Linked DNA regions of Daphnia pulex. The protein of the gene in region 7 purifies or fractionates together with the protein of the main gene of each other region. This does not show direct contact. Links are inferred from orthologs where the notes say so. Each region holds a gene or a part of one and is shown on either strand. Other genes may lie near its edges. The genes, in order: nuclear cap-binding protein subunit 1-like, nuclear pore complex protein Nup153-like, E3 ubiquitin-protein ligase Ufd4-like, carboxy-terminal kinesin 2-like, CTD small phosphatase-like protein 2, GTP-binding nuclear protein Ran and importin subunit alpha-1-like.

Region 1 (4,227 bases), on a different chromosome or scaffold from region 7:
TGTTCGCACCTCTAGATGGATCTTCATCAGATGATTCCGAATCAGATGGTGCAGCTCTGAGTTTAGCGCGTGCATCCGCCACCTCTTTCTCTAGACGGACGACGTGTTTGTTCATTTTGCGAATAGTCAAGTGCAAGACCTCCCAAATGTACGAACGAGTGAACTCGGGTGCCATGTCTCGTGAAAAGATCCAATTTGCTACGGCACAACACTCAACAATTTGTGTCTTTAACATCTTATCAACTACCACTCCTAAAAATTGTGGGTGGTGTTGCCAGAGCTCATAAACTTGACGAAGCATACAGATCTGTGCCTCTTCATTCTCACAAATATTCTATGACAGAAACGTAAAATTGAATCGTTTTATACTATCGATAACATTTCAATCTGTTGAAAATACCTTGAAGACTGAATGATATTTAGCGAGACCTGCAAAAGTATGCGTAAAACTCTTCGATCCCAAATGTAGCAGAGTCTGAACAAATACTTCAATTGCTAGAGGATTGTGTGAAGGCTCCATATCCCCGTCGTCATCTAATTACAATTGCATCAAAATGGCTTGAAGTTATACATATTGTATCCACCATATTTACCTTTGAGAGGATTCGGTAGTTGCTGGACCAACTCTAGTACTTCTTCAGGCGTTGGCTTTTTTCTTAGGAGCTCAGTCAAAGTCTGGACTTGAGCAGCCCCAGGAAAACCATTTCCTCCTTCAATTTGGTATTTAAAGTACGGTTCTGGTTTCGGGGGCAACAGCGGTGAGTAACATTCAGGCACCATTTCAGTCACGCGCTTGTGATAGGAGAGTCTCAAACATTTCCCGAACACTTCAGAAACAAATTTTGCCTGAAATTTAAGTGTTCCTTTAGATAGATTTCGAAAAATTTCATTTTTTTAAACATTTACCTTGGGGTGGTCTTTTTCGAGTGAAAGACAATTCTGCCAGTCATCCCAACTCCAGCGGAATTGAAAGTTACTGAGATGGTAAGAAAACCAAGAAACGAATCTATCAAAGCAGGTGGCATTCATGGTATCAATTCTTTCGTAAAGCAACTCCGTAGCCTGTGCTAACACCTGGTTGTGAAATAAAAAGTCAAATGAAAATGTTCAAGTTTCTACTGTAAGATCATATTTTCACCTGAGGCATTGTACTTGGTTGAAGCTTGCAAAGTTCTATCAAAGTACAACCATAAGCAATCTCCAAGTAACGAGGGGAAGGCATTTGGAAAAGTTCTGAGAAGAGAACTTCAACTATCATGTATTCCAAAGGGATCTTATTTCTCTGTGGGAACGCCAACAATTGGGTGGCTCTGAAAAGCAAAATTAATTTACTATTATCTGCACAAACGTTTCTGTCAAGTTGAAACTCACAGTTCCTTGCGTTCGTTATGATGACGAGTGATGATCTGGTGTAAATGTTCCTCAATCAAGTAACGCTCTACTGAATGAGTTCCTGGTAAAAGTGGACCAGCCTGAAAATGAGTCCCGAGTTAAATACGCACGATACACACTTTTGAAAGCGTTTAACTTACTTCTGGACAGTCAGTGTAATCAAACATCCTGAAAACAACCCATGGTAGCGGATATTGCGTACTAGCTGTGTGAGGCGGAGGTAGAATGACCGGGAGATTGTGTTGCAAAGCTTCAGAGAGGATAGAATCAAAAGCTAAATATGGACGGTAAATGTGTCTTTCCTGCCACTCGTCTGTCCGCAATTTCCGTACTTGAGCCCAAAGACATTCCAGGTATTCTTCCTAGAAAGAACGTTTTTCGAAATTTTTCAATTATTATTAAAATGCCATGCCATTTCTGACCTGTGGGTGCGGAGTTTCACAATTCCAAACTCGAAGAGCAGCGACATGAGCAGTATTTCTTCTGCGAAGATAACCTTCCATTGCTGCCATTATACGTTCAAGATCATTTTCTTTCTTTTCAAAAAGCTCTCGACCAACCCAAGGAAGCGCCGTCAACAACGCATACATGTACCTGTAAATTGATACAGTGTTGTGATCTACATTACTCTTGCTTTAGAATAAAACAAAAATTTAATTACCAGTCTCGTCGAACCTGAGGAACTCCTTGTTCCATGGCAGCGTCAATAAAACTGTCATATAACTGTAGCAAGGAAGAGGCAGAGACTATGTGACAGTTGACCATGTCAGATATGAAACGTACAATTAAACGAGCAGATTCCCATTGCCCCTCACGGAGAGCTTCTTTTAGGTTTCTCACTATTTGTTCCACAAACTAAAAAAAGATATACTTGTATCTTAAAAACTGAAAGTACAATTTTAAAACAAACCTCTCCTCCAAAATTATAGTTTTTAGCATTCAGAAGACCAACTAATGTGCTGTAGATAGTACATTTCTCTGGCATTTGGATTGGGCATTCCGACAAAATACGTAATATTTTACTCTTGTACGTGTTCAAATCAGCTTCTAATACTGAAGCAAGCCCTTCTAAATTGCTTTCTAAAGATGATGACGTTTTGTCTCCAACCCTGATAATAAGAGATTCTAACCGGTCTTCAATTTCTGCCTGCTCCGAGACAACTCTGCGCCTTTTACGATACCCATGTTCTGTAATTTTAAACAAATAACTTTTTATAATGTCATCAAATTCTTCAATAAGTTGTAATCCTTACCATATCCATCATCACGTTTCCTACGACTCATTCTTTGATTTTATTTTAAATTGGTCTACGACGCTTACAAGACAGACAAACTACTACCACCCTGTTTGACTGTTTGTCATATGGAGCTATTAAAGAAGCTGTTAATTTGACGCCATCTATTGATGAAATCATAAACTTCGATGATCGTGAAAATAGTTTACATAACTTGACAACGTAGCTGTAAAAATTGTTTATTTTAGGCAACGCAATTTGGCGCAAAAATTCAATTCAGTTTATATTCAGCTGAATTGAATTAAATTCACGCAAAAATGGGATTTGTTGAATTCAATTTAGGTGAAATTGGCTACGAATGTCGGACGATTCGGCAAAAACCATTTCGGCAAATCGCCGAAAACCGTTTCGGCAAAGTTGCCGAATTGTCACCTATGAAATTACCGATTCGGCAAAAGTCGATTCGGCAACTGTGCAAATGTAAATTGGCGGCAAATACTGTGGAACCCAATTAACCCCACAACGTTAGCTAGGGCTGTAAATCGGGTAAAAGCAAAGCGCACTGCTAAAAACCCAATTGATCTTTTTTTTCAAATCAAAATGGACTTAATGCCCACTTCGTTTTTTAAAGGAGAAGTTGTAGTTGGTTCTAAACGTCATTTAATTTTCATGACTGACGAACAACTAGCGCTTTTGAAAACTGCCGTTCGATGGTATGCCGACGGAACCTTTAAAATAATAAACTTCCCTTTCACTCAACTATTTTCCCTCCATGGTTTTCTAAAAAAGAATGGGCAGTTAAAGCAGGTTCCACTTTGTTTTGTGTTTATGTCGGGAAGGGCTCAAAGATCTCTCGGGAAAGACAGTATAATTCGCGTGTTGGTGGTGGCGCTGATTACCCGAAACCCACACAGCTAGCGCCACTGGCCTTACAACGGCATTTTAAACAATTTTGCCGAATTGGCTTTTTACCGAATTGGTATGTACGATTCGGGAAAATAACAAAGTCAACCAATTCGGCAAAAACCAATTCGGCAAACGTCAAATTTGCCGAATCGTCCGTATACCTTGGCTACAATTCACAACTTGGCTCGTAGTGCAAACTGTGGATGGAATGGAACGAACATCAGCTTGATGAGCGGCATTGATTAAGCCTGCAGGATTGCTTGACACACAATAACTGTCATCCGTTGAACTAGTGGATAGGCCTACAGATTCCGCTGCATTGACTACAATACAAAAAGAAATGATTAAAACGAAGAGTGAATAATAAAATTAATGGTGAATGGAAGTATGCTAACAACCACATGAGCCATACCTGGTAAAGAATTGTTCGTACTTGAGTCTCTTGTACGTGTGCTCTCGGCCCGTTTACGGCCCGCATTCACACTTTTCTCCACAGCAGGATTTGTTGTTGATGGGACACTACTGTTATTCACTGAACTGGTGGATAAAGATTCCGCTGCAATGACTACAACTTGAATACAAAAAGAAATGATGAACAATGAAGAGTGAATAATAAAATTAACGATGAATGGAAGTCTGCTAACAACCACATGAGCCATACCTGGTAAAGAATTGTTTGTGCTTAATCTTTCAC
Region 2 (4,093 bases), on a different chromosome or scaffold from region 7:
CAGTTGCTGTTGAGACACTCTTACAGGATGCGCCACTCTCCAACAGCAATTGCACAGGTCGTCAAATGGTTCCGGGTCTTCTTTTATTAGGAGGCGGACAGAGTAGGAAAATTGACTCTCCATTCATAACCGATTCATCGAATGCCACTGGAATTAAAGAAACTACTCAATCGTCTCGTCCGCCCAAGGCATGTTTTTCTTATGCCTCTGCCAACACTTCTTAAAATCATATATTTATTACTTAATCTTTAGACTTCTGGAGGGTTGCGCCCGGAAATACGTCTAAGGTACTTGGCCCAAGTACTGGAATACGAGGTCGAGTTTTCCGATTTTCCAAAGGTAATAAACATTTTAAAAACTAATTTTAATTTACTGTTGGAATTAATGTAATATTATTAGGGCAAGAAAGGAGATTTCGTTAGCCTTGTGACCTTGAATACAAATCCTCCGCAAGTGTCGCACGGACTTGGTGCCACTTTGGAAGAAGCCCATGATAACGTAATCATAACTTGACTATATTTTGGCAATCAGCTTAAGTTAATTATTTAATTGATGTTCTTTTTGTTAATTCTTTGCACAGGCTGCTTCCAATATGATGAAATTGCTTTCTGAAGGGTCTCAAGATGACACCGTTGGTCCCAACAAAGAAAACGCAGATCAACGAAGCACAGGACCCCAATAATTTTGTTTTTCCTATAATGCCCTGTTTGATATGTTGAGATTTGAAATGAGATTGTCTCATATCTATTTAATTTAGTTTTTGTGTCATTTAACTTAATATTCAAGCACGCTATCACGATTTTTCTTTTGTTATTCATTTGTGGGTTTGCAGTCAAAACTATTTTTCTTTGTCTTTCACTCTTTTTTTCCCCCTTCTACATTGTACACGGTTCAGCTTTTTATTTCATTATTTTTCATTTAACGGTTATTTGTATTTATTTTCAAATAAAATCAGGAGCTTATCTCTTGCTGACTCTTTATCATGTGTGGAAGAAAAAAAAAGAATTTTGAAAATGAATAATCTGTACCGTTGACTAAAAGAACGAAAATCAGAAAAAAATGGGTGCAAGTTCTAAGATTATGCAATCATACTGATCATACTTTTACGTAATACTGCACTACTGCATTAAAGAACTTGCGTTTTTTTTTACATGGCGCAGCGTGATACCTATATTTGCAGCACACATTACTAGTGGCTGTTTTATGTAACAGCGCTAGCCAAAATGAAAATTAATTTCATGCATGGGGGGAGGGGGTTACCGCATGCGAATTAGGCAATTTCTTTTAGTTCGATCGGTTGATTCATCGAGAATGGTCGAGAAGGGTTCCGCTGGAGCCAAACTATAGCCCGTCACAAACGCCCTCTACTGATAAATTTATAAGTTCTTTGAGCAACATCGTTCTTCATTTGTTTCTCGTAACCGCCAATCAGATCTTTCTAAACTTAAAAAAAATCCGCCATCTTTTCTCGGCACTTTTTTCCTCGCCGCGTGTGGGTCGTGGTGCGACGGGTTAAAGCTGTTTTCTTGCAACAGTATCTGATTTCCGTATTGATTGATAATTTCTAAAACAGTCATGTGGGAAGATAATTTAGGTAAAGTCAAGGCAAGGCGGAGCAAAAATTCAAAACCATACGAAAGGCCCAAGGTAAGACTAAAATACGTTTGTGTGAGTTTGTGAAACCCCAACTATATCCGGCTTTTTGTCTATCAGTCGATTTTGAGGCGAGTAACAGATTCAGTTACTGGATTGTTACCACAACCTTCTTGGCTGGTGAATTGGTTACAATCTACATCAGCTAAAAAAGAAGATAGTGAAAATGATGAAGTTGAGGAAGAACAACCTGTGCCGTCAACCAGTTCATCCAGCAATGGTAACAGCTCCCACCGAGAAGGTGTTGAAAGAGAGTCCTTCATATTTCGCAGACCACCTGGGACATCCAAAGAACAAAGCAACAGTAAGTTTTTTTCATCAATGTTCTGCTCCCTTCAAACTGTGTAACACATGCTTCTTTTTTTGTTTGACTTGCAGTAAGAGCTCGTCCAAATGTCCCTTCTTTGGACTTACTTCCAGAGCCAGTAGTGGTTGAATCAAGTTCAAGAGAACAAATCGTTCAAACAAATGGTTTGTATTAAACACTGATTTTCAAACTTTTATGACATCTCACATCTCATTTCCTCTGACAGGTGATGATGACTCCAACTCAGAGTCAACTAGCGGATGTTCCTCATTGTTACCACATCTCGAGCATAAGAGGGAGAGCAGAAATATAGAACTATCAAGTTTGGGAGTTGCTGAACCTCTCTCTATTAATCAATCTTCACTGCAAATCATTGGAAGCTCTTTGAGCAAGTCCCTAGCAGTTGACCTAAAAAATAGCCGTGGACGCAAAACTCTCAGCCTTCATACTTTTGGTCATGATACAAGTTCAGGTATAACTCCCACAGAAGAATCAAGGTTCCACAAGGATACAGGTAGATTTCTAATGACATTTTCATCATTTTGTAGTCAAGAATTTTGCTTACAAATGAGTCTAATGTATTGTTTTTGATTTGTAGAAGAGGCTAGTGGCTCATTTTTCGACAAAGACGACACTTCACTCAATCGTTCAGCTGCCAAGCGAGACCTTTCCCAACCTCAACTTTCATCGTATGGAAGCAAGAGACCACGCTTCAATATAACTTCATTTGGACCTACGGCTGCTGTAAGTCTTGAATTTAATTTACTAACAAAGTCTGGACTCTATTCTTTTATTACTTCCAACAGGAGGCTAGGCGGTCTTTAATGAACGAGAGTGTTGTAGACTCACCATTTTATGCTGGTAAGACGACTTACGGTGGTGCTTCAGCTTATCGCCGTGCCACTTTACAACCTTCAGCTGCACTATTCCCATACGTGCGAAGTCGAATTCAGGCTAGGCCTGCGTCTTCAGCTCCATCCACTTCGAGTTCTGTTGCTTCTACCAGTTCGTCAAATGTTGTACTTAGTAGTTCAGCGCAACGAATCCTTCAAGCACTCGAAGCCATGTCAACACCAGTGAGAGATGCAAAAAGGATTCCTGCTGCATCCAACAGTAAACGATCCACTTCTTTACAAGGCGAAGAACTTTCGTTCACTGGTAAATTGATAAAAGTTATGAATTGCTTAACGTTATAATAATTTCGCTTTGTGTTTAAAGGGTTTGGTTTGAGTCGCCGACGTCCAAATTTGGGACCTCCAACTTCCAAATTATCTGTCGGTACTCCGGCACAGATTGTCACCCGACCAGCTCCAGCAAACTTGTCTCAAATAGAACCAGCACTAGTATCGAGCACCCCCATCAGTGCCCAGGTTGGTGGCAAGATGCGAATGAGGATGTCAGCACCACTTCGCAAATCGGCTCCTCGTATTCGAGAGGATGAAGATGTAGAGTCGGAGGAGCTCACTGCTGTGCCAATGCCCATTAGTATAGCAGGTCTACCTAGTTTCAACTTGCTACCTCCTTGCTCGGTGGTAGAAAAAGCAACTGTTGTATCGACGAAGACTTCAGTGAAAACAGCAGCAGTAATGAGTTCCAATGGATTGGTTAGTTCTTCAATGACGAGTACCTCAACACCTCGTCCAGCTTTCACGTTTTCAGCACCGTTGGTTACCGTCAGTCCGTACAAGGTAGATGCAGCCGTCAGTTCGAAGCCGCTCAGTTTCAACTTCAGCTCCCCATTGCTCGTCAACGCTTCTCCGAAAAAAACACCAGAGAAGGAGACTCCAACTAAACCCGCAGAAGTGGAATTGAAATCTGGAAGTGTCCTTGATGTTCTCAGAGGGAAAAGTCAAGAAGCTGTGCCCGTTTTGGAGCCAGTTATTAAGTCACCACCGGTTCTTTCAGGATTTGGAGATAAATTCAAGGCACCTACCGATTCTTGGACATGTTCTGTCTGTTGCGTTCCCAATTCCAAGGACAAATCTTCGTGTGTGGCATGCGAATCTCCAGCCCCCAATGCAGTAAAAGCAATGCCTATTGCTCCTGCTGCTGCTGCTGCTCCTGTTGCGCCTCCAACAAAAGGATTCGGTGATCAATTTAAAATGACCGCCGCTCAATGGGAATGTTCTGTGT
Region 3 (3,500 bases), on a different chromosome or scaffold from region 7:
TCGCTGACTCTCGGCCGCCACCAGAGCGTAAAACTCGAGCGACGGACCCAGGCCCGTCCCTTCCTCGTCCTGGAATTCAACCTCCAAAATGGCCTTGCGGTCGGCGTGGACCTTCATCACCTGCTGAGCCCAGTCCAGGAGCCGCTCGCCGCGGGGCACTCGCACACGCTCGTGTTTCAGCCGGCCGACGCGGAACTCGTGCGGGTCGTCCCGTCTGGGAACGGCGCCCGTGTTTCTCTGCCTCTCGACGGCCGAATCGCGTTGACTCTGCAGCCAAACGATCGATCTGAAATGCCAAAGAAATAAGAGAAAATATGTTTGGTTAAAAAGACGAACGGACGGACGGAAAAACCGAATGGACCAATTCAAAAATTACCGAGAAGTGCCGAAAGCGTTGGCGTGAAAGTACATCTGGCGCGTCTCGAACGGAATCAAAATGGGGCAGACGGTCAGGAGCTGCTCGCACCAGGCGGGCAGGGCGCCCGACGACACGACCAGAGGGTCGGAAAGTTGTTGCATCAACTTGTTGGTCACTTTCTTGCTGCTAAACTCCTCCAGCGGAATAAAGATGGTCGGACTGTGGTGCGATTGATGCTGCAGCTGCTGCTGCTCCACATCCGACTGCTCGCCGGCGGCCGGTGGCCGGCTGCTCAGCACGTAGAGCTGCCGCAGCAAAAGGAGGACGTCGCCGACGCTGCACGAGCCCACCGTGTTGCTCGTCTGCGTGTTGACGTCAAAGTCGGGCAAAAAGAGTTCGTCGTCCATCAGTCGGCGCTGTCCGGCCGCGTCGCCCATCGCTCCGCCCGTCGAGGGACCGACGACGACGACGGCACCGGCCTCGTCCTTGAGCTCCTTGTAGACGAGCGTGTAGGTCGGCTCCCAGATGCGGCGCAATTTCTCCTGGCGGGTGCCCAGGGCCGAGGCCTGGATCAGCTTCTGCACGGCTTTGAAGACGGTCCAGTCGCTGTCCGTCAGCTCAATTTCCACGTCGGGGATGTTGGGCAGACATGGGCCGCGCAGGACCAGGTGCAATTTGGGTTGCGGCACCAGATCGGCGTCGGCTTCCACGTCCATCGATTGAATGACGGACTGCTGCTGCAATTGCTGGCCGGTGGCCGAGAGGCCCGACGAGGACGGAGACGAAGAAGTGGTGATGACGGCTTCGGCTCCTTGCGCTCCTTCGGCGGCTCCGGGTGGCGGAATTTCAAGATCGGACGTTTGGTGAACGTTGGTACGGCCCGGACGGGGATCAAAGGCCGGAATCAAGGCGGAAAATTGTCTCTTGAGGACGAATTCGTCGTCCCAACTGCGTCGCTTCGTGTTGCCGGTCACGTGTCGAGATCCGGCTCCGCTGCCGTCGCCCGCCCCGCCCACCAGACTGCTGACTCCGCCTCCTCCATCCTCTTCCGTCACTTCCTCGAAATCTTCATCGTCTTCGTTTTCATCGTCGTCTTCGTTGTCGTCCTCGTCCGGCTCGGGCAACTCGTCGTCGTCTTCCAGCTCGGCCAGCAAAGTGCCGGCCCGGCAACTCTCCAAAAAGTCCTCCAAACTGACTTGCTCAGAGTCGCTGGAGCCCGTCAGACTCATCGACAGCGCCTGGCTCAATCCGTGGCTGCTGCTGCTGCTCGTCTGCTGGTGTCCCCCCTGGCCGGCACCAGCGCCGCCGTGGGCGTGGTGCAAGTTGGTGGAAGAGGCGCCCGCCATGGAAACGGCGTGGCTGGCCACCGACGAGAGGCTGCTCAGCGTGTTGCTCAGACTCGGGTAGCTCTGGGCCGTGCTGAGCAGTCCGCCGGGGAAGTTGGAGGACAGGGCCAGACGGACCAGACTGGACACGGAATTGGGACCGCGAGGGAAGAGCAGCGACGACGAGGCGTTCGATGACGAGGAAGACGAGACGTTGACGGCGTTGGTTCCGCTAGCGCCGTGGCCGTGACCGCCGCCCGCCATTGCGCCCGCTCCGCTGTTGGATCCGCTGGATCGATTGGCATTCGACAGGTCGACGGGTGAGCCGGAAGCGTTTCCTCCCGATGCTCCGCCGCTTCCACTGTTGGCAGCATTGCCCGCTTGGTGGCGTCTGTCACACAAAACAAAAGAGAGAAATCGAAATGAGTTGAATGATTCATTCCGGGTGGATGCAACTCGTAAGTGGCTGTTAATTTTGAATAATAATAGTCAAACTCATCTCTTTACCTTCGGGCCACATTAGCGAAGCTTTCGAGGAAAGCAGCTGGCGTGGGTCCGCCGCCCACTTCTCGTTCCGGCTCTGATGACGTCGTCGTCAAATTGGGGACGCTGACGCTCATGGAACCAGACGTGCGAACGCCAGAAGCGGCGCCGGAAGCCACTTTGACCGACTGGGAGGGAGGCGAAGGAGGCGACGACATGTCGTCCTGTTCGTCATCCGCCTGTTGTTGTTGTTGCTGTTGCCCGGCTAATTCGACGTGAGAAAGGGCCGACGAGGCGGCGGCCATCGTTTCGGCTTCGGCCTGCAATTGACTGGCCTGTCGTTCCAGGCTGCGGAGCAGATCGAACGCGTTGATTTCCAGCATTTCTTCCGTCACGTCGGCCATGAGCGAATCGTCGACGACGATGCCGTCCAATGCGGCGGCTGCGGCCGCTTGACTGGCCGCCGACAAGCTGATGGATGCGGCCGATGATCCAGTGGCAGCGCCGGAAGAGGTCAAGAGACTCGAGTGATCCATGAGTTGAGTGGCTGCAGCTCCCGTGGCCGTCGCAGTCGATTGTCCAGCCAAATAAGTGTTCTTGGCGTTCTTGTGACTGTCGGAAACTTGAGACTCGCCGGCTGCTCCTTCGGCGGATGAGCCGCTGGGATCCATCAGACTGAGGGCCCCCACCAGGGCGGCGACGGCCGTCGAAGTCGCTTCGTCGTCGTCTGTGCTCTGCGTTCCCGTGCTGTCGCCGCGGACGCGCTCGAACGACACCAGGCCGGCTTCGGCGCTGGCCAGACTCAAAACACTTTCGGCCACGGCCGAAGCGGCGGCCGTTGATGAAGACGACGAGGTCAAGAGATTATCCACCGAGGTGGCCTGCTCCGTCGAAGCCACAGAGGGTTTCACCACTCCGGTGGCTTCCGGCAAACTGGGGGTGGAACTGGATTTGCGGCTACCAGTCAGGGCGTTGCCGGGTCCGGTGCTGGTCAAAGTTGACGTCGGGGTCGAAGATTTGACGCCCGTGGCCAGCGAAGTGCACGATTTGTCCAGGTTGATGGTCTTGAGGGCAGAAGATGTTTTGCCCGCTGTCGACGACGAAGCGGCGGCGGCTGTCGTTGGCTGTTGTTGCTGGGCGGCGTCGGGATCGTACGAAGGCGCCAACCTCAGATCGTATTTGCCTTCTGCTCCCATCCGGTAGGAATTGGATCCGCCGTGATCCCACTGGACGTCGATCCAGCCGTTGTGCAGCTCTCCCGTCACCAGGCCTTCGGCCGGCTGGGCCAAACCTCCGGCACTGGCCGCCGCCGCAGTGGTGGTGGATCCGTCCTG
Region 4 (3,943 bases), on a different chromosome or scaffold from region 7:
ATTCGAATATCGTGAACTCCTCCAGAAGGACCGAGTAGATCGCGGATTTGTTCATTGTAGATCTCCAAAAAAGAAGCTTCGATCTTGTAAGCCCAACCTTTGGCTCGAAGGGACTCACAAGCAGCAAAAATTAAACGCACAGAGCGTGGAATCATCCCGTCTGATTCAGACCCAGCAGTTCCGCCTGTAGAAAAATGAAATAGAACCACATTTAGTTGGTTTCTTAAACAGAAAATAAAAGGAAAACTAACCTTCCATAGTAAAAGTTTTGCCAGAACCGGTTTGCCCGTAGGCAAAAATGCAAACGTTGTAACCGTCCAACGCCGATTGAATAAGTTGAGAAATCTCATCGAAAACTTGCTGTTGAGTTGCATTAGGACCAAACACTCGATCAAAATTGAAGTCGATTTTTGAAGGTCCTTTGCCACTTGCAGGAGCATTCATTGAGCTTTCATTCAAAGTCATGTCAGCATTCAGTTTGTGTACTTCCAGAGACTTATCGTGTAAGACGTTTAAATGCGCGATTTTTCCTCCGGGCAATTTGTCCGAAGGAATGATGGGTCGGATTCGGCAAAATACGCGGATGTTGCCTTTCAGTTCTTGAACTGTGTTGTGTAGTAGACGTCTTTGAGTTTCTTCTTGCCGAAGTCGAGCCTTGAAAAAAAAAAAATTTGTTAAAAAAAGGAATAATAAAAATCATTTCTAAAACTTACTTGTAAGTCTTGAATTTCTGCTGTTGCCACAGACACATCATTTCTTAACCTAGCATTGTCAGCTTGTTCGATTGTTAAGTGGCGCTGAAGAGACTCCAATTCCGCGCGAAGACCAGCGGAGGCTGAGCTCATCTCAGCCATTGAGCATTTTAATCCAACAACTTCTTTCTGAGAGGCGATTAGTTCACCTTCCAGACTAGTCCTCTCACGCTCAATAAGACCTTTATGGAACTCCAATTCTCGAATCTTATTTTCCAGCAGAGATTTTTCAGTGGCACTCGACATCTCTAAGCCCCTGCAAATAAGAAGAGAGATTATTAACACATAAATAAAGAAAAGCTTAATAACTTACCTAATTTTACTCTTCAAAGTGTCGATTTCATCTGACAAAATATTCACTGCACTTTCCTTGTCCTTAATGTGGACCTCGAGGTTCTTATTGGTAGAGTCTAACACAGTGATGGTATCCTTCTTCTCGGCATTTTCGGTTTCCAACTCTCCAAGGCGCTTTTCGATAATTATCATCCTACTTTCCAGAGTTAGAGGTTTGGCTAGAGTAAAGTGAACAAACGAATTGTCATCAAACCAAAAAAATTTCTTGCATGAATTCAATCTTTTACTTACGTTTAACACCCTTGTTGGTGATGGCATTTGAAATAGAGTCTGCCTTTTTAGTAATGTCACGGGCAGCTATAAGAGAATTACTGTAATTATGCAGTTTAAGGAAGAAACTTGTTAAACAAACCTGTGCGGCCAAGAGTTGAAGATGCATGAGGTTTGAGGGCTGTCGATAAACCCCTACCCACAGTTGTTGATTTTCCATTTTGCCCAGTAGTGGCCAAGTTAGTGACTGATTTTGAACGAATCAATGTACTCGATGACTGGTGGCTACTAGCTGCTGGAGGGAAAAATAAAAAGCAATGAATTGAAATGTTTTAAAGCAATAAGAAATTCACTTACTGGTTGAAGCATCATCTGTTGTTCTTGGACGCTTTTCAATTGGTTGTACTGTTGACACCTCTGGACCTCGTCGTTTGGCAAGATTAGATAAAGAAGAGGAAGTCGAAGGGGGTTTCAGTCCCGAAGTAAAACCGGGTATCTTGCTAGCCATTTCTTTGTTTGGTTGAGGCGTAAGTGGCAACCGTTGGTAAAATAGCCTTTCTCGATTTTGACAAAGAGTTATCAAACTGTTAGTCAAACTGAATGTGATAAGCAATCTTATCTATAACTTACAAGAAAGCAGAGTAGAGTCCTCAACTAAGTTTAAATGAATTTGTGCAATGTAAGCAAGATTACTGTAAGTTGAAATCCTTGTAGAACCGACAACCGAAATAATTACGAAGGGTTTTCTTCTGATGCAGTAATGCAGATGATGCCTTTGAATTAATGCCACAAGTCGTTAACGGCAGAAATTCGAATCAAGTCGGCGTTGCCACTTTGAAATAAATCTATATGCGTCCTCGACGAACTCGAACGCCACCAAGCGGCCAGGCATTCAACCAGAGTAATAGCAATAGCATAGTAATTAGTAAATGAATATCTTTGCTCTGTGTAGGTAATATATACAAAATACATTGCTCTATTTATTTAGGAAAAATATGCATGATTGGTCCCCGGATTTCGGGGGCCAATAGTCAAAATAGCTATTGGGCCCTGGCACCAGGGGAACCCGGGGAAAGGACATGGCGTGTGATATTCGTTGAATTGTTGTTAATTCAATTTGGAAGTTATGACTAAATTATTTTTCAAACCATAGACCAAGGGGATGCCTGTCTTTTACTCGAAAGTTAACACCATCGCATTGAAGTTCTAGAATGCACGCAACATAGCCACGTAAACATAGTTTCACAGCTTCTATATTTATAACTGTTGAATAAAACTATGAAATAACTTCTAAATCGAATAAACATCGGATTTTACACGCCATATTTGTGTACTGTAAAATGGTGTCCCTTTGGTTGCAACGTTTTCTGGGAATGGCGCTGTCTACCAAACTTCCATCGAACAAGGTAAACGTCATTAATTTAAGAAAAGAAAAACAAAGTTGAAGTTGTCCTTAATTTTAAATAGCTGGACAGCCAGCGACATCAGAAACAAAAGACTGCTGTGAGGCGCGGCCTTATCCCCGGGTAGAGGCCAATAGGCCCGACCTTTATTCATTTATCTATTCTCTGATTCAACGCAACCGCAAATCCGCACTCATATTTCAGTCAGAATCTCTGTTTGTTTGAACGAATAAAATTTCAAAATAAATAACGCGAATAAAGTAGATGACCCACACGGTTTTATTCTAACACAATATGCGAAAAACAAACCAAACTTGTTGATCGAGTATTTAAAACGGGAAACAATGTTATTGCGCATTCAACCAGTCGTTTTCTAAATGCAGATAGCAAAATTGATCAAAAAACAAGGTCGTTTACGGTCAGTATATATTTACATAGAAATAACTGTTCAGCACCATGCACAAATGAAGTTATTGTCCTGAACTCGGGGCGTGAAGCGGTGACAAAGAAGCTTGTTCCGTCCCCTAAAGACACAAACGATTCTTACAATCAGTTCTATTGCACTGGCGATCCGCCAAGATAAAGCTTGAAAGAATTTTTTTGTTTTATTTAAAAAAAAAACTATTTAAATCCAATTAATTTTTTTTTAATGTTTATTACACCGTCCACATCATCTGGCCGCCAGTGCACTATAGTCCGTTTTGGCTATTTTACTGGCGGTACAAGGGCAGATACGTAAAAGGCAAACTGATAGGCAAACTGATAGGCAAACTGATAGGCAAACCTTCATGACAATTTTTTTTTTTTAAGGATGTCGTGCATAAAAATAACCATCATAAATTTGTATGTATATATAGGGGAAACCGGGGCTGTGTGGGGCTACATGGGCCATCTCAGTTTTGAGCATGTTCCCGTAATTTTTTAAATATTTTTTAAACCATATTTGGGCATTTATCATGCCCCATGTTTGTTAAAAAAAATATTAAAATAAAATTACTAAATGCTCAAAACTGCGATGTCCCATGTCCCATCCCTGTCCCACACAGCCCCAGTCTCCCCTATATATCATATAGTAATATTTATCTGCCCTTGTACCGCCAGTGCAATTGCCAAAATGGACTTTAGTGCATGGGTTAGTGAACAAAAAAATTTGTTTAAGCCTGGTTTAAGCTTCATCTTGCCTGTTTTGCTAGATTTCTCAAGCAATAAAATGCGACATAAAAC
Region 5 (3,881 bases), on a different chromosome or scaffold from region 7:
TGCAGCTCTGTACGAAAGAAAGGCCCCAACTCCAAATCAGTCCACACAATCAGTACATTCAATGATCATTTGTTTACTTGAATTCTTTAAGTTACTGTTTTCTTAACTTATTTATTCACAGCTTCCTCTTACATCAACAAACTTCCTGTACGAGCTGGATTGTGTGACACAAGAAATAGTAAATGTAAGTTCAAGCAAGGCATTATTACATAGGTAGGCCTACCTAGCTCACGAATAATAAATATTTTTTTTTCTTTTTTTTCCAGCGAGTAGTCGAGGCTCAAAAAACGTGTGTGGTCGGGGACGAAGTTTCTATCCCAAACTCGAATGAGAAGTTTCTTTTAAAACGACGCTATCAACTGTCAGAACTTTCAAGGATCAGGCGGCAGTTTATAAGTTTTGCCAAAACGCATCCAGTTGATGATATACCTAGATTAGCCGCAATGTTCTTTCAGTACCTAACGTCTCATTTGGTGTAAATAATGTACGATATTTCCAACGACCACTGTTATTTCTGTCTATTAATTGTTTTACCATTCACTTCTCGATTGAGTCAACATACACAACAAACTGGGGAGATGAACGAGGCAGCAAAAGAGGAGAAAAAAAAATAACCGGGGTTCAAGTCAGGCAATGAACAGCCAGGTACACCTGCTAAATTTGGTCTCTAGTGTGTATATAGTTTACACATAAAACATTCGGCTAAAACAATAGCCGAAAACCATTTAAAACGCAACAAAAAGTTGCTCTGCCAGAGAATAAATGCTCATGTTTTCAAGAAATAGAAGGTCAGAGTCTGTAGACAAACGGTCCGTTTAAAAAATAATTGAGGATGTCAATTGCACACATTGAGTATTCGCTAAATCTTCTGTCTTTAGTTAATCAGGAGGCAAATAAGAGAATAGTCTGTACTTTTCACGTATATACGGCCGAACATCTTGATTCTAAAAGAAACAAAATGGATATTTTAAAATGTTTAAGACAATAATGCACATTTTTCAAAATTACCATATTGACCAGGTTTACAAGAAACGGAATCAATTTCAAAAGTTCCTCATCTGTCTGGTCTACAAACCAGCTTTCGATCGGAATACCATTTTCAAGCTGAATGATAAAAATGGATTAGTTTTTAACGAACAAAAATGAATGAAAAATGAATGAACGAAAAATTACTTGGTATCCAAATGCTTGGGGTGAGTTATCGATGATAATTGTGCGCGATAAGTCGCGTCCAAGGATAGTCAAATCTTTAATATAATTACCGTTAACACAAACGCAATGTTCTCGAAACAACCGATACCTAAAATCAATGTAACGTGAAAAAGTTAGTTGGAAAGCAAATCAAGAATTAATAAAATTCCATACTTGATCCAACGACGCTGTGGATCCAACAAATTTAATAACTTGTCAGCATAAACTTTTTTGGACGCGGTAAACAAAATGACTTCGAAAATTTGTGACACTCGCTCGAGAAATTCCCGAAAATGTGGTCGGGTTCGTACAAACACCTGGTATGTCGTATCCTGAAAGAAGACAGGAAAACTGAAAGCAGCATCTTCCAATTCCTCTAAGCTGCAGTGCACAAGTGTTTCATCCTGTATGAGAAATATTCATCAATAACATGCTTGGAAAACCATGAATGGTTAACTTACAAGATCTAAAACCAGTGAAAATGTGGGGCTGCTTCTTGTTTTCAGCGGAAGAGCTGGGCACTGTCTTTGCATTTGAGGAGTCAAAGGAGGAAGATGCTTGATGAAGTAGAATGGATCAAATGGCTCGATTTCAATTTCTTCTCGCCTGATGTATGTTGTTTCATCAGTAACAGGTGCTTCATGGGCTTGAGTGATGAATACTTCTTTGGTAGACATTACTTCTTCACAAAGGAGAAAATTATCTTCTGTTTCATTTTCGTTGCTTGCAGTATAGACAAGCTCCTGCGTACAGTACAAGTCTGTAGTTGTACCAACTGCACCACCATTCTGGCAGACAGATATTTCAGGACTATTCTCTTTTTCATCTTGATCCGTACTAACTACAACACTCGCAGGCTCCATCTTTGCTGCAGTTTTAGAATGACTCTTGGATGTTCTCTCCAAGCTTTTGGACTCGATCAAGACTCTTGTAGATTGTACCATTTCTGAGGAAAAAGATTTGTTATTTCTGTTCAAAGCTGCTTTCCTACTGTTAACCGATGAAGGGGAAATCCTTGTCCCACCGCGAATTTTGACACTTCGTTTGGCGCGTTTCTTGCTGCGCGGCGACGGCTGCTTGGGTAGAACAGAGTTTGGTGGAGATTTGGGCGCCGAAGCTTTCGCTCTAGCTACCCTTTTAACTGGCGATAGCTTTTTCCTAAGACTGCGAGTGATCATTTTCTAAACTAATTTTTCCAAGCCCTAGTTACGCTCTTGAGCTTAACTTGGACTCGTAGTTGAAAATGTATCGAAAGTCTTTCGACAGTTGAAGCGAAAATGCAGAACCAGTCAACCAAGCGCCCAGTGCGCCCTCTTTTATGGATGGCCTACTTTTCGGAAAGCTATCTGTGTACTACGGCCGAGATCCTTTCTATTTTCAGACGTCCCAAAAACCGGTGCCAGTATCAGAGACACGTAGCGGCCAATATTGAACCATGGTATTCTAAATTGCTAAATGCGCTTGATTATTTAAAGTTGAATAACAAAGTATGACCAAAGACAATTGAAAATAAACTTGGTGTGCTTCACTGACCTTCAGTAGACGTCGATCAATAAAAATACATGAAAAGTGGTTAAAATTTTATTCTAGTTTCGGCTTTTCACCACCAGCATGCTCTGATCCTCGCCCACCATTCAGTAAAAATTCGTTGGCCTGAGGCTACTAAAACAGCGTCACTAGAAGGCTTACTCTACTCTACTAGCTCTATTGCTCATATCACCAATTTTTTCCTTGGTAATTTCGATTTCAGAAATGATGTAATAGTTTTCGAAATTTCAAATTGTCAACAAAACAATGGCTGTTGTAATAGCTAACATAAAAATTACAATAGGTTTCGTAAAAATTAATAAACGAAATTGTGTTTCCTGTAAAAGGTGTATTGATTGACAAATGGGCGTGTCTTTGAAACATTTTCACGAGGAAAGAGACAGATAGCCTATGGAGAAGCCAGCGGCCGTTCGACATCCAGGGGGAAGTTGCTCGGAACTATTGCGCAATACCGACAAGGCACTATTCATCATCTCTCTGCTCACTTGGTATTCAATCACGTCGTTGGGAATTTTCTTACTTGTCGAATTCTCCGATTTGTACAATACTTTATGGAGTGCACTTTGACGCAGTTCGATCTCCGATGCAGATTCCTTGGAATCAAGGGTGAATCCGTTGTCGCCTACAAACCATAAAAGGAGAGTCTGACCGCCTCCTACACCATCTCGAAAGGCTAGCTTCCGACCAAAAAAAGATTTTTCTTCTTCTAATGCATCGTACAGTGTGAAATAAAAAGCTTGCAGTGGCGTCGTTACGTCTTCTATCATCTTCCATTGATCATTTTCTTCAAGCAGAAACCATTTGATGGAGTGGCACCATACATTCATAAGGCCTTCTTCCATTAGACCTACAGAGGCTTGACATTTAGAACATAATAATTCTCTGCCTGCGGTTTCCAGGCTCCCTTCAATGAGCAAACTCGTCGTGAGAGCATGGTAACAACTTCCAAACAGGCAATCGGTTGAACGAGGTACCAGTTGATGGTCTGCGTCCCCCTCATGTCGATGGCAATACCAGTCGGAAGCGGCTTCACTCCACGATGAACGAGGCAAAGGCAAAACACGCTTGAAATTAGAACGATTGATGAGAACAGATTGACACTCAGCACACTGGACGCGGTAATCTTTTCCTATAATCGGATG
Region 6 (3,461 bases), on a different chromosome or scaffold from region 7:
CATTCAAATTACAGTCCATTTCAGCGTCATAAATCGGTTTTAGCAACCCTGGCATGAAGTCAATTGGTTTTCCAATGTAAAAACTTTGGACGATTGGGTTTGGTATTAGCGAACGTTGTAACAGTGCTTTTTTTTAACAGATGCTTCAGTCTGCAAAGAAGGAGTTGTCGTCAGCTCCAACGAAACATTGTTGGAGTTAAAGGTTCAGAGTCAGAACCGGAATGCACAAGTGGTTATATCAATGCGCCCCGAAGACCCTATGGCAGTTTTGATGCAGAAGTATGCGGAAGCAACCGGGATTGATTTGTCCAAATTGAAGTTTAAATTTGACGGCGAAATGTTGGAAGAAGATGACACACCGTCTAGTCTGGAATTTGAAGGTGGCGAGTGTATCGATGTTTTCATTAGAGAGTAGTTTATTTGTTCACTACATTTTTCTTAACTTTACTACTTTGTATATTTTCCCTTGCGCAAATAAATTATGCACTAATAAACAAAAATTCGAAAGACTTTTGTATTATGACGCACAATGTATTTTCATACCTCGCAAATAAAAATTGGTTAAGATAGAAGGCAGAAAACACAGATGGAAAAATTTGTGGGAGGGTGTAGTGGCTTAAATCCTAATATGTTGATGTTACAAGTCTTCATCATCTTCTGGTAGTGCAATGTGTTGAGCTTCCTCCAATTCACCTTCAATTTGCTTCTGCCAATTAGGATCCATCTGCACCTCAGGTGGCTGCAGAGCAGGCATAGCAACAAACTCTAGGTTAGGGTCTCCAATTAGCTTACGTGCTAGCCAGAGGAAAGGCTTTTCAAAGTTGTAGTTTGACTTGGCACTAATGTCATAGTACTAAATGAAACCAAAATTTAGCAAATTGCATTTACAATTTAGTAGCACAATTAACATACCTGGAGATTCTTCTTTCTGTGAAAGACAATGGATTTGGCCTTGACTTTACGATCTTTAATGTCAACTTTGTTGCCACAAAGAACAATTGGGATGTTTTCACAAACTCGGACCAAATCTCTGTGCCAATTTGGAACATTTTTGTAGGTGACACGAGAGGTTACATCAAACATGATGATAGCACATTGGCCCTGCAAGATAAATGAAAGTCAGTCGAGACCATGTGAATACAAGTATGCTGACATTTACCTGAATGTAATATCCATCTCTGAGACCTCCAAACTTCTCCTGACCAGCAGTGTCCCACACGTTGAATCTGATGGCTCCACGGTTTGTATGGAAAACCAAAGGGTGAACTTCCACACCAAGTGTGGCCACATACTTCTTTTCAAATTCACCAGTCAAGTGACGCTTAACGAAAGTGGTTTTTCCGGTACCACCATCGCCAACCAAGACCAGCTTGAAAGTGGGCATGTCAGGTTCGGCAGCCATTCTGTTGTAAATCCTACAAATAATGAGAAAAGATAAGTGAATCGATCAGACTTGATTGCGTCATTCAACAAGAATTTACTGGAACTTAATCTAACGACAACAAAATATATTTTTCTAAAAATTTACACACTCGTGAACACTTACAAGTTAACTGTCAATGTTTAATGTCAAGAGAAAAAAGGGACTATTTCAAACAACTACCACAGAACAGTTTTACCGCCACTGACTAGCTTAGTGCGTTGTCTTTGATGGAGGAAGATGACTGTTAGAGGTTACAACTTGAAAAATGCAGAATAAAATAACTATGATGACTAAAATACTTTCCATGCCGAATTAAAAAGAGATTGGCAAAAGAAACATTACTGCTTACTTAAAACAACGAAAAGATGAAGGATGTGGACAATATTCGAAGATAAATCTAACTCACCGGCGGTTTTAAGCTTTAGGTTCACAATCGCGCGGTTCTAATACCAAACTGGTCTCTAAAAATTCTGGTAGCGTAAAGGCTGGCTGAAAATGGGTGGCTCTAAAAAATTCCTAGCGAGATGTTGCCAAATTTCACTAGGAGAAACGGCGGGAATATTTTCCTTTTCTTTGAAAAAAAGACGGTTGGAATTTGAAAATGGAAAGTAGGCTGTAGCAGGGCTGTAGCTCTCTATTTCTCTAAAGCCTGTCTAAAGCTTTGAATGTAATTTATTAATGTTGAATTTCATTCAGGCCTATTAACGGGATGATGTTTTTTAATTTTTTAATCAACAATATATTTATTTTGTGTGAGATTAAAATGCTAAATGTGTTAATAAAAAGGATAGTAGCACTTAATTCAAATGAAATTACCTTTTAAAAGAAGAAAGAAATTCCTATAAGCATCACTGTATATAAATTAATTAATAGGACATTAAAAGACGTGGTAGCAGCATGATGAATATTTCTGTCAAAGTTATGATTGCTGTTTTTTTTGTTAGTCATTATTTCATTGTATGTTATAAAATCAACCGTTCGAAGAAAAATAACAACGGAGGCGATCATTCATACAAGCATCTGTATTTATTGATACGATGAATTTCTGGGTTACAAAAAATAATGGCGAGTTTTGTTTTACAAACAAAATATCAATGAACTATTACAAAATAATTTTCGGAAGGTTTCATCACAGTGTATAAAATCTTGGGAGATAAAGCTATGACGAACATTTTGATGCGATACCGGTTCGTTTGTAACTCAACGCGAAACTGACTACTTGAACGAGGATCCAAACAAAAAACGCAAGACAAAGGGGAATATGGGGATAGGGGGTTTCAGTAGTCATCACATTCCACATTGGCGAACTAATCATGCACACATAAAAATAAACTAAAATAATCTGAAATAAACATGGAACTCCAAGTTTTATCATATATAGTTATCAAAGTTAGGAGATTTTTTTATTTTTTGCAGCTTCAATGAACTTTGCCATCAGACTCTTGACAGAAAATGGGTCCTCTTTTTTGGCTCTTGTTTCTTTTTTTGTGCTTAACCTTGATGATGGATTTTTTCCAGAGTGCCCAAAGTGATTACTAGTCCTCTTGTTTTTGCAGTTAACATTCTTTGATGCCTTAAGTTTGTTTGATGTGATGGAAGGCGATGGGGCAATCAGACGAATGGTGGCGAATAAATTACCTTCTTCATCCACGTCTATGTCAACTTTTGACTTTGGTACCGAAGATGTAGAAGGACGACTCAATGGGACTTTTGTAGTAGCTTCTTGTGGTGATTCCAAATGTGAAGGTGCGAAGGGAAGCAGTCGAATCTCGTCGGGATCAATGACACTGGATTCCTCGAATTCAGATTTCACCAACCAAACCGGCGAATTGTGTTGAAGTAATTCAACTTTCACAGGCATAACATGCGGGGCCATTTTTGTTAATTTTCTGGGAGATTGGCTTACATTGGTTTCGATCAATCGTTTTTTTGCTTGAAGAGGTGTTGTTGTTTCGGGAAAATCGGAAAGAAGAAAGGGATTGGCAGTTATTTTCCCAGCGGCTAACGGTGGGTTAAGGACGGGAGCAACGAGAAATGG
Region 7 (4,016 bases):
TTGAAATACAAAAAATAAAAACTAGCACGACAAAATCAAAACTTATCAAATGTAGAGTTGATCGAGTTGTTTTGTATTGCTCGTTTATCGCGCATTGAGAAAGAGGAAAGAAGACGTCGTGCATGGACAGAAATGAAAGCAAATGGCAACTTTCAATTAAAAAACAATTTAGAAAAAAACTTTGAAATAAGAAAAGGCCAAAACTCATGATTAGGATAGCGTTCAAGAAAGTGAAGAATATATTTACCGTTGTAAAGGCAGAAAAAAATCAAAAAGAATTTTTAGATTATACAAAATTTAGAATGAGAAACCTCCTTCGGGGGCTTGAGATGGCGAGTTGTTGAATTCGTAATTGCCACTCTGCGATGTAGATGGCGCCAACTCGGAATCTTCATCCCCCTGTCGAAATAACAAACAAAAACGATTAAATCAAATTCAAGAACACTATTTCAAAATAAAACTAATTTTCTAAAATCTCAGTAATGGTTAAGTTGTCAGCACAAACACTATGAATGTGAACAGTTGTGGTAATCATTGAAATAAACCCAAAAAAAGAAACAATAAAAAAAGAATAAATTACGTCAGTTGAGAAGTACTGCTCCAGAATGGCCAATGACTTGTGATAGATTTCAACATTGTCGTGGCTCTGCAGAGCTTCGATGCGGTCCAGACCACCACACTCTTCGACGTGAAGGGAAACTTTCTCCAATTCACCCATTTTCTCAGCTGCGGCCAAAATATTAGCCAATCCATCCAGCACGACCAAGATGGTCTTGGGTTCCTTTGCCTCCAGCAAAGTGCACAGCGGAGCGATGGCACCAAACTGGCACAACAAGGCGATCTGCTCCACATTGCCACCTGAAATGAATAAGAAAAATCAATTAAAAATCAATAAAACACCAGTAAAAATGAAATAAGTTACCTAAAGTGATGTTGGTGATGGCCCAAGCTGCCTCCTTTTGGCATTTGAAGTCACCTTTGCCCAGCACATCCACCAACGGACGAATAACATTGTTGGTGATGAGAGCCTGAATCTGGATGGCATTGCCGGCAGCAATGTTGGACACGGTCCAGGCAGCCTCCTTGACGATGTTCATCTTAGCATGAACGAGTAACTTGGCCAGCAACGGGCAGGCACCAGCAGCCAGGACGGAATCGGTCTGAATGTCACTTCCTGTAACGATATTCCCGATTGTTCTCAGAGTGGGGGTGATCACGGCCACCTCAACGTGGTCCAGCAAAGCGACCAGCCGTGGGACGACACCGGCGTCGACAACCTCCTGAATCCGTTCGTTGGGGCCATCGGTGAGGTAAGAAAGAGCCCAGCAAGCATCGGCGAGGATCTCTTTGTCGTTGTTGTGGATCAGGTGGGCCAATGCGGGAAGCAGTTGCCGGACGGCAGGGACACTGGGCGGAGGATTCTTGTTACGACACAAGTTGGACAAAGTCCAAGTGACATTACGCAAGAATGTGGCCTATAGATCAAATCAATTAACAACTGCACACGAACGTAAATTTAAAATAAAACTCACCGAAGTATCAGGTTTAATCAAAGTAAGCAGAGGCTTGATAATGCCTTGCTCGATGACGTGATCACGAAGCTCTGGTCCGTCTCCGGCGATGTTACCCAGAGCCCAAACAGCTTGCTCTGCCACAACTGGATGAGGTGACCCCAACAGGGAAATGAAGCCAGCGACAGCCCCAGCACTGACGACAGCCTTTGTCTGGTCAGATGTGCCTGAAGCAATGTTGGTGAGAGCCCAGGCTGACTCAAACTGCAGATCGGGGCTGAAACAAAGAAAGACCATTAGGAAATGTTCAAAAACCAAAAGAGACACTTGACATACTTGCTGACACGACTGAGAAACTCCACCAGCTTCGGAACAACATTTGCATTAATGAGGATGTCAATGGGTGGATTACGTTCCCTGCTGAGGATTTTACGGGCAGCATGGGTTGCAGTGATCTCCTTGTTCTCATCACCACTGTTGATACCTAACGATAATGAAAAACATATGAGAAGCAACTCAGAAATAAAAACTGATGCACACATACCATTGACTATGTCCTCAATGCTCATATTTGCTGCAGCCATCCGATTCTGTTCTTGGAGTGGGCTGAGGGGCTCATCATCGATTTCAAGGTTACGTCTCTTCAACAAATGATCTTCCTTCTTGGCTTTCCGCAACTCAACATTCACCTCTGTACGTCTCCTCCTCATTTCCTGAACAAGAAAGATGAAAAATCTGTTACATTTGAGAACTGACACTAGTTATTTTAAGGTATTTACCTCAACATCTCTGCCTTTGTTCTTGAAGTCCTTCAACCGGCTGGGATTTGCTTCAGTAGGCATTGTGATAGTGTAATTTACTCCAGCTGTCAAAGAAAGAGAATTCTAAAAGGGATTTTCAAATCTGGCACAATGACAAAAGAAAAATGAGAAATGGGACTCGAGACAATGAAGCAACAAAGAGAAAAAATTTCCCGCGCCACGTGCAAAATTTCCCAGACTATGGCAGTCGTTAAAAATGTGTCAATGATGACTCATACCATTATTTCACAATTTGTTATAGTCGAAGCAAGAAGTAAACTATTATTCCACGTGGGAATGTCAGAAAAATTGAAAATTAATAGAGAGAGGAATTACCTGCGGGACTTGTGAGCAAGAATCAATTGATGAATGGTGACCGTTTGATCGCTAAGAGAATTCCAGACGACGAAGAAGAAGAAGGGGGAGGGAATTTCAAACCTAACCGTTGCCTGTTGCCAAATTTATTCATTGATGCAATCGGAATGGGATCAAATCTGGCAACGTATAAGCAGACGAGAAAATTTAAAATTTCAAAATAAGCAGAAAATGAAAAACGCCGATGGAGCTGGTCATAATAGAATTTAACTGAAATTGATAATTGATTTTAATAAGAATTTGTTACCATAGGATTTCTCATTAATTAACCTTCTGACTTAATGATCTGTTGGAAGTCTTTCTTTAAGAACATGATGTATGATGATGTCCAAATGACAGTGTCAGAGATCTCTCCCCTGGTTTAAACAGTTTTCATAAAACTAGCATCAACAATTTTTATGTTGGCAGGAAGAAGTTATACAAATATAGATCCAGTAATCTTGAACATTCAATTTATATAAAACTGTTTTCCAAACTAAAAAAGTGGCAAAAATTTGAATACCAGCCAGTGCCAGCCGATTCCTGAAAGCTTAAACTTTAGACTGCCATCTGGAAGAAAGAAAAGTTTTCTCCCACAACCCAAATTAATTTATACTAAATTTTCAAATATTTTTCAGACCAAATTTTCCATCAGTTGTAAGAGTATCATCCAAAATCAGTGTGAACAGAATCAACAGATAAAGTATGGAAGAAACTTCATTTTAATACATCTTCCTAACGAAATGAGGTAGGCCTAGCTGTGATACCAAACATACAGAATGAAATTTAGATTTACAATGTCTCTTGTCTGATCTCTAAACTTTCTGTAGAAATTAAAACGTTTTAATTGCTTTAAACACTAACAGTTGTGAATTCAAGTTATATATCTTATTTCATTTAATTTATTAAATCAGTGGCAGGCAAATAACTTTTATTTTTAAAAATCAGTTTCATCCGACTGCAAGAGGGGACCGTTTAGCCTTTCGACAAGTTTGATCAACAGAGCGTACCAAATATAGTTCAGTTGGAATCGCTAATTCCGACACAGGTGGTCGTAAAATCCGTGCTGGACAGTGTGCACGTAATACGTTAAACACATTTTTCAGTCTATACGTTTCTTAAAAACTAATCATATTCTGTGATTAGGTCACGTGTGCTAATAGACTCTAAAATTCCTTTTCATTTCCAATTTCCCCACAATTAGTTGCAATCCGCCGGGCAGTTCCAAAAGAAACGGAGAAATCCAACGTGAACAGCTGCAACTCCCGTCATCGGTTCAACTGGATTACAACGACCCTGCAAAGTTGGTGTTGCAGTTGGTGTTTATTCCAACACATTCGTATCACGTCCA

Evidence for each region.
Region 1: the proteins of importin subunit alpha-1-like (region 7) and nuclear cap-binding protein subunit 1-like purify together in Homo sapiens (co-immunoprecipitation; 5 studies listed by BioGRID and IntAct, with this or other methods). This does not show direct contact. The link is inferred for Daphnia pulex from reciprocal best matches to the Homo sapiens genes KPNA2 and NCBP1.
Region 2: the proteins of importin subunit alpha-1-like (region 7) and nuclear pore complex protein Nup153-like purify together in Homo sapiens (co-immunoprecipitation; 4 studies listed by BioGRID and IntAct, counting the BioPlex papers as one, with this or other methods). This does not show direct contact. The link is inferred for Daphnia pulex from reciprocal best matches to the Homo sapiens genes KPNA2 and NUP153.
Region 3: the proteins of importin subunit alpha-1-like (region 7) and E3 ubiquitin-protein ligase Ufd4-like purify together in Homo sapiens (affinity purification with mass spectrometry; 3 studies listed by BioGRID, with this or other methods). This does not show direct contact. The link is inferred for Daphnia pulex from reciprocal best matches to the Homo sapiens genes KPNA2 and HECTD1.
Region 4: the proteins of importin subunit alpha-1-like (region 7) and carboxy-terminal kinesin 2-like purify together in Homo sapiens (co-immunoprecipitation; 4 studies listed by BioGRID and IntAct, with this or other methods). This does not show direct contact. The link is inferred for Daphnia pulex from reciprocal best matches to the Homo sapiens genes KPNA2 and KIFC1.
Region 5: the proteins of importin subunit alpha-1-like (region 7) and CTD small phosphatase-like protein 2 purify together in Homo sapiens (affinity purification with mass spectrometry; 4 studies listed by BioGRID and IntAct, with this or other methods). This does not show direct contact. The link is inferred for Daphnia pulex from reciprocal best matches to the Homo sapiens genes KPNA2 and CTDSPL2.
Region 6: the proteins of importin subunit alpha-1-like (region 7) and GTP-binding nuclear protein Ran purify together in Homo sapiens (affinity purification with mass spectrometry; 3 studies listed by BioGRID and IntAct, with this or other methods). This does not show direct contact. The link is inferred for Daphnia pulex from reciprocal best matches to the Homo sapiens genes KPNA2 and RAN.

Annotation. Positions count from the first base shown.
Region 1 is NC_060022.1:6,378,315-6,382,541, forward strand, and holds the start of nuclear cap-binding protein subunit 1-like, read right to left. Parts: upstream 2,801-4,227; 5' UTR 2,677-2,800; coding exon 2,646-2,676; intron 2,581-2,645; coding exon 2,303-2,580; intron 2,248-2,302; coding exon 2,054-2,247; intron 1,987-2,053; coding exon 1,815-1,986; intron 1,755-1,814; coding exon 1,533-1,754; intron 1,473-1,532; coding exon 1,372-1,472; intron 1,311-1,371; coding exon 1,139-1,310; intron 1,075-1,138; coding exon 907-1,074; intron 847-906; coding exon 594-846; intron 535-593; coding exon 401-534; intron 335-400; coding exon 10-334; intron 1-9. Other genes in the region: uncharacterized protein LOC124196162, read right to left, coding at 3,669-3,856, 3,946-4,104, 4,195-4,227. UniProt on the Homo sapiens protein: Component of the cap-binding complex (CBC), which binds cotranscriptionally to the 5'-cap of pre-mRNAs and is involved in various processes such as pre-mRNA splicing, translation regulation, nonsense-mediated mRNA decay, RNA-mediated gene silencing (RNAi) by microRNAs (miRNAs) and mRNA export.
Region 2 is NC_060021.1:252,442-256,534, reverse strand, and holds the start of nuclear pore complex protein Nup153-like, read left to right. Parts: upstream 1-1,293; 5' UTR 1,294-1,575; coding exon 1,576-1,647; intron 1,648-1,713; coding exon 1,714-1,957; intron 1,958-2,028; coding exon 2,029-2,124; intron 2,125-2,186; coding exon 2,187-2,474; intron 2,475-2,558; coding exon 2,559-2,704; intron 2,705-2,766; coding exon 2,767-3,118; intron 3,119-3,178; coding exon 3,179-4,093. Other genes in the region: double-stranded RNA-binding protein Staufen homolog, read left to right, coding at 1-188, 253-339, 400-498, 581-682. UniProt on the Homo sapiens protein: Component of the nuclear pore complex (NPC), a complex required for the trafficking across the nuclear envelope. Functions as a scaffolding element in the nuclear phase of the NPC essential for normal nucleocytoplasmic transport of proteins and mRNAs.
Region 3 is NC_060020.1:92,536-96,035, forward strand, and holds part of E3 ubiquitin-protein ligase Ufd4-like, read right to left. Parts: coding exon 2,191-3,500; intron 2,075-2,190; coding exon 377-2,074; intron 287-376; coding exon 1-286. UniProt on the Homo sapiens protein: E3 ubiquitin-protein ligase which accepts ubiquitin from an E2 ubiquitin-conjugating enzyme in the form of a thioester and then directly transfers the ubiquitin to targeted substrates.
Region 4 is NC_060023.1:9,698,238-9,702,180, reverse strand, and holds the start of carboxy-terminal kinesin 2-like, read right to left. Parts: upstream 2,801-3,943; 5' UTR 1,947-2,800; intron 1,875-1,946; exon of another isoform or gene 1,871-1,874; 5' UTR 1,825-1,870; coding exon 1,674-1,824; intron 1,612-1,673; coding exon 1,459-1,611; intron 1,404-1,458; coding exon 1,338-1,403; intron 1,265-1,337; coding exon 1,066-1,264; intron 1,009-1,065; coding exon 714-1,008; intron 655-713; coding exon 252-654; intron 185-251; coding exon 1-184. UniProt on the Homo sapiens protein: Minus end-directed microtubule-dependent motor required for bipolar spindle formation. May contribute to movement of early endocytic vesicles. Regulates cilium formation and structure.
Region 5 is NC_060021.1:11,134,968-11,138,848, forward strand, and holds CTD small phosphatase-like protein 2, read right to left. Parts: upstream 2,544-3,881; 5' UTR 2,370-2,543; coding exon 1,653-2,369; intron 1,596-1,652; coding exon 1,366-1,595; intron 1,301-1,365; coding exon 1,174-1,300; intron 1,105-1,173; coding exon 1,009-1,104; intron 945-1,008; coding exon 879-944; 3' UTR 501-878; downstream 1-500. Other genes in the region: protein KTI12 homolog, read left to right, coding at 1-52, 122-184, 267-479; uncharacterized protein YJR141W-like, read right to left, coding at 3,105-3,881. UniProt on the Homo sapiens protein: Probable phosphatase.
Region 6 is NC_060020.1:1,358,597-1,362,057, reverse strand, and holds GTP-binding nuclear protein Ran, read right to left. Parts: upstream 1,983-3,461; 5' UTR 1,830-1,982; exon of another isoform or gene 1,773-1,829; intron 1,645-1,772; exon of another isoform or gene 1,547-1,644; intron 1,416-1,546; 5' UTR 1,403-1,415; coding exon 1,160-1,402; intron 1,102-1,159; coding exon 913-1,101; intron 854-912; coding exon 638-853; 3' UTR 501-637; downstream 1-500. Other genes in the region: NFATC2-interacting protein-like, read left to right, coding at 141-415; uncharacterized protein LOC124192239, read right to left, coding at 2,814-3,461. UniProt on the Homo sapiens protein: GTPase involved in nucleocytoplasmic transport, participating both to the import and the export from the nucleus of proteins and RNAs. Switches between a cytoplasmic GDP- and a nuclear GTP-bound state by nucleotide exchange and GTP hydrolysis.
Region 7 is NC_060028.1:48,995-53,010, forward strand, and holds importin subunit alpha-1-like, read right to left. Parts: upstream 2,801-4,016; 5' UTR 2,648-2,800; intron 2,415-2,647; exon of another isoform or gene 2,377-2,414; 5' UTR 2,354-2,376; coding exon 2,291-2,353; intron 2,225-2,290; coding exon 2,056-2,224; intron 1,996-2,055; coding exon 1,848-1,995; intron 1,789-1,847; coding exon 1,533-1,788; intron 1,476-1,532; coding exon 923-1,475; intron 859-922; coding exon 581-858; intron 400-580; coding exon 298-399; 3' UTR 53-297; downstream 1-52.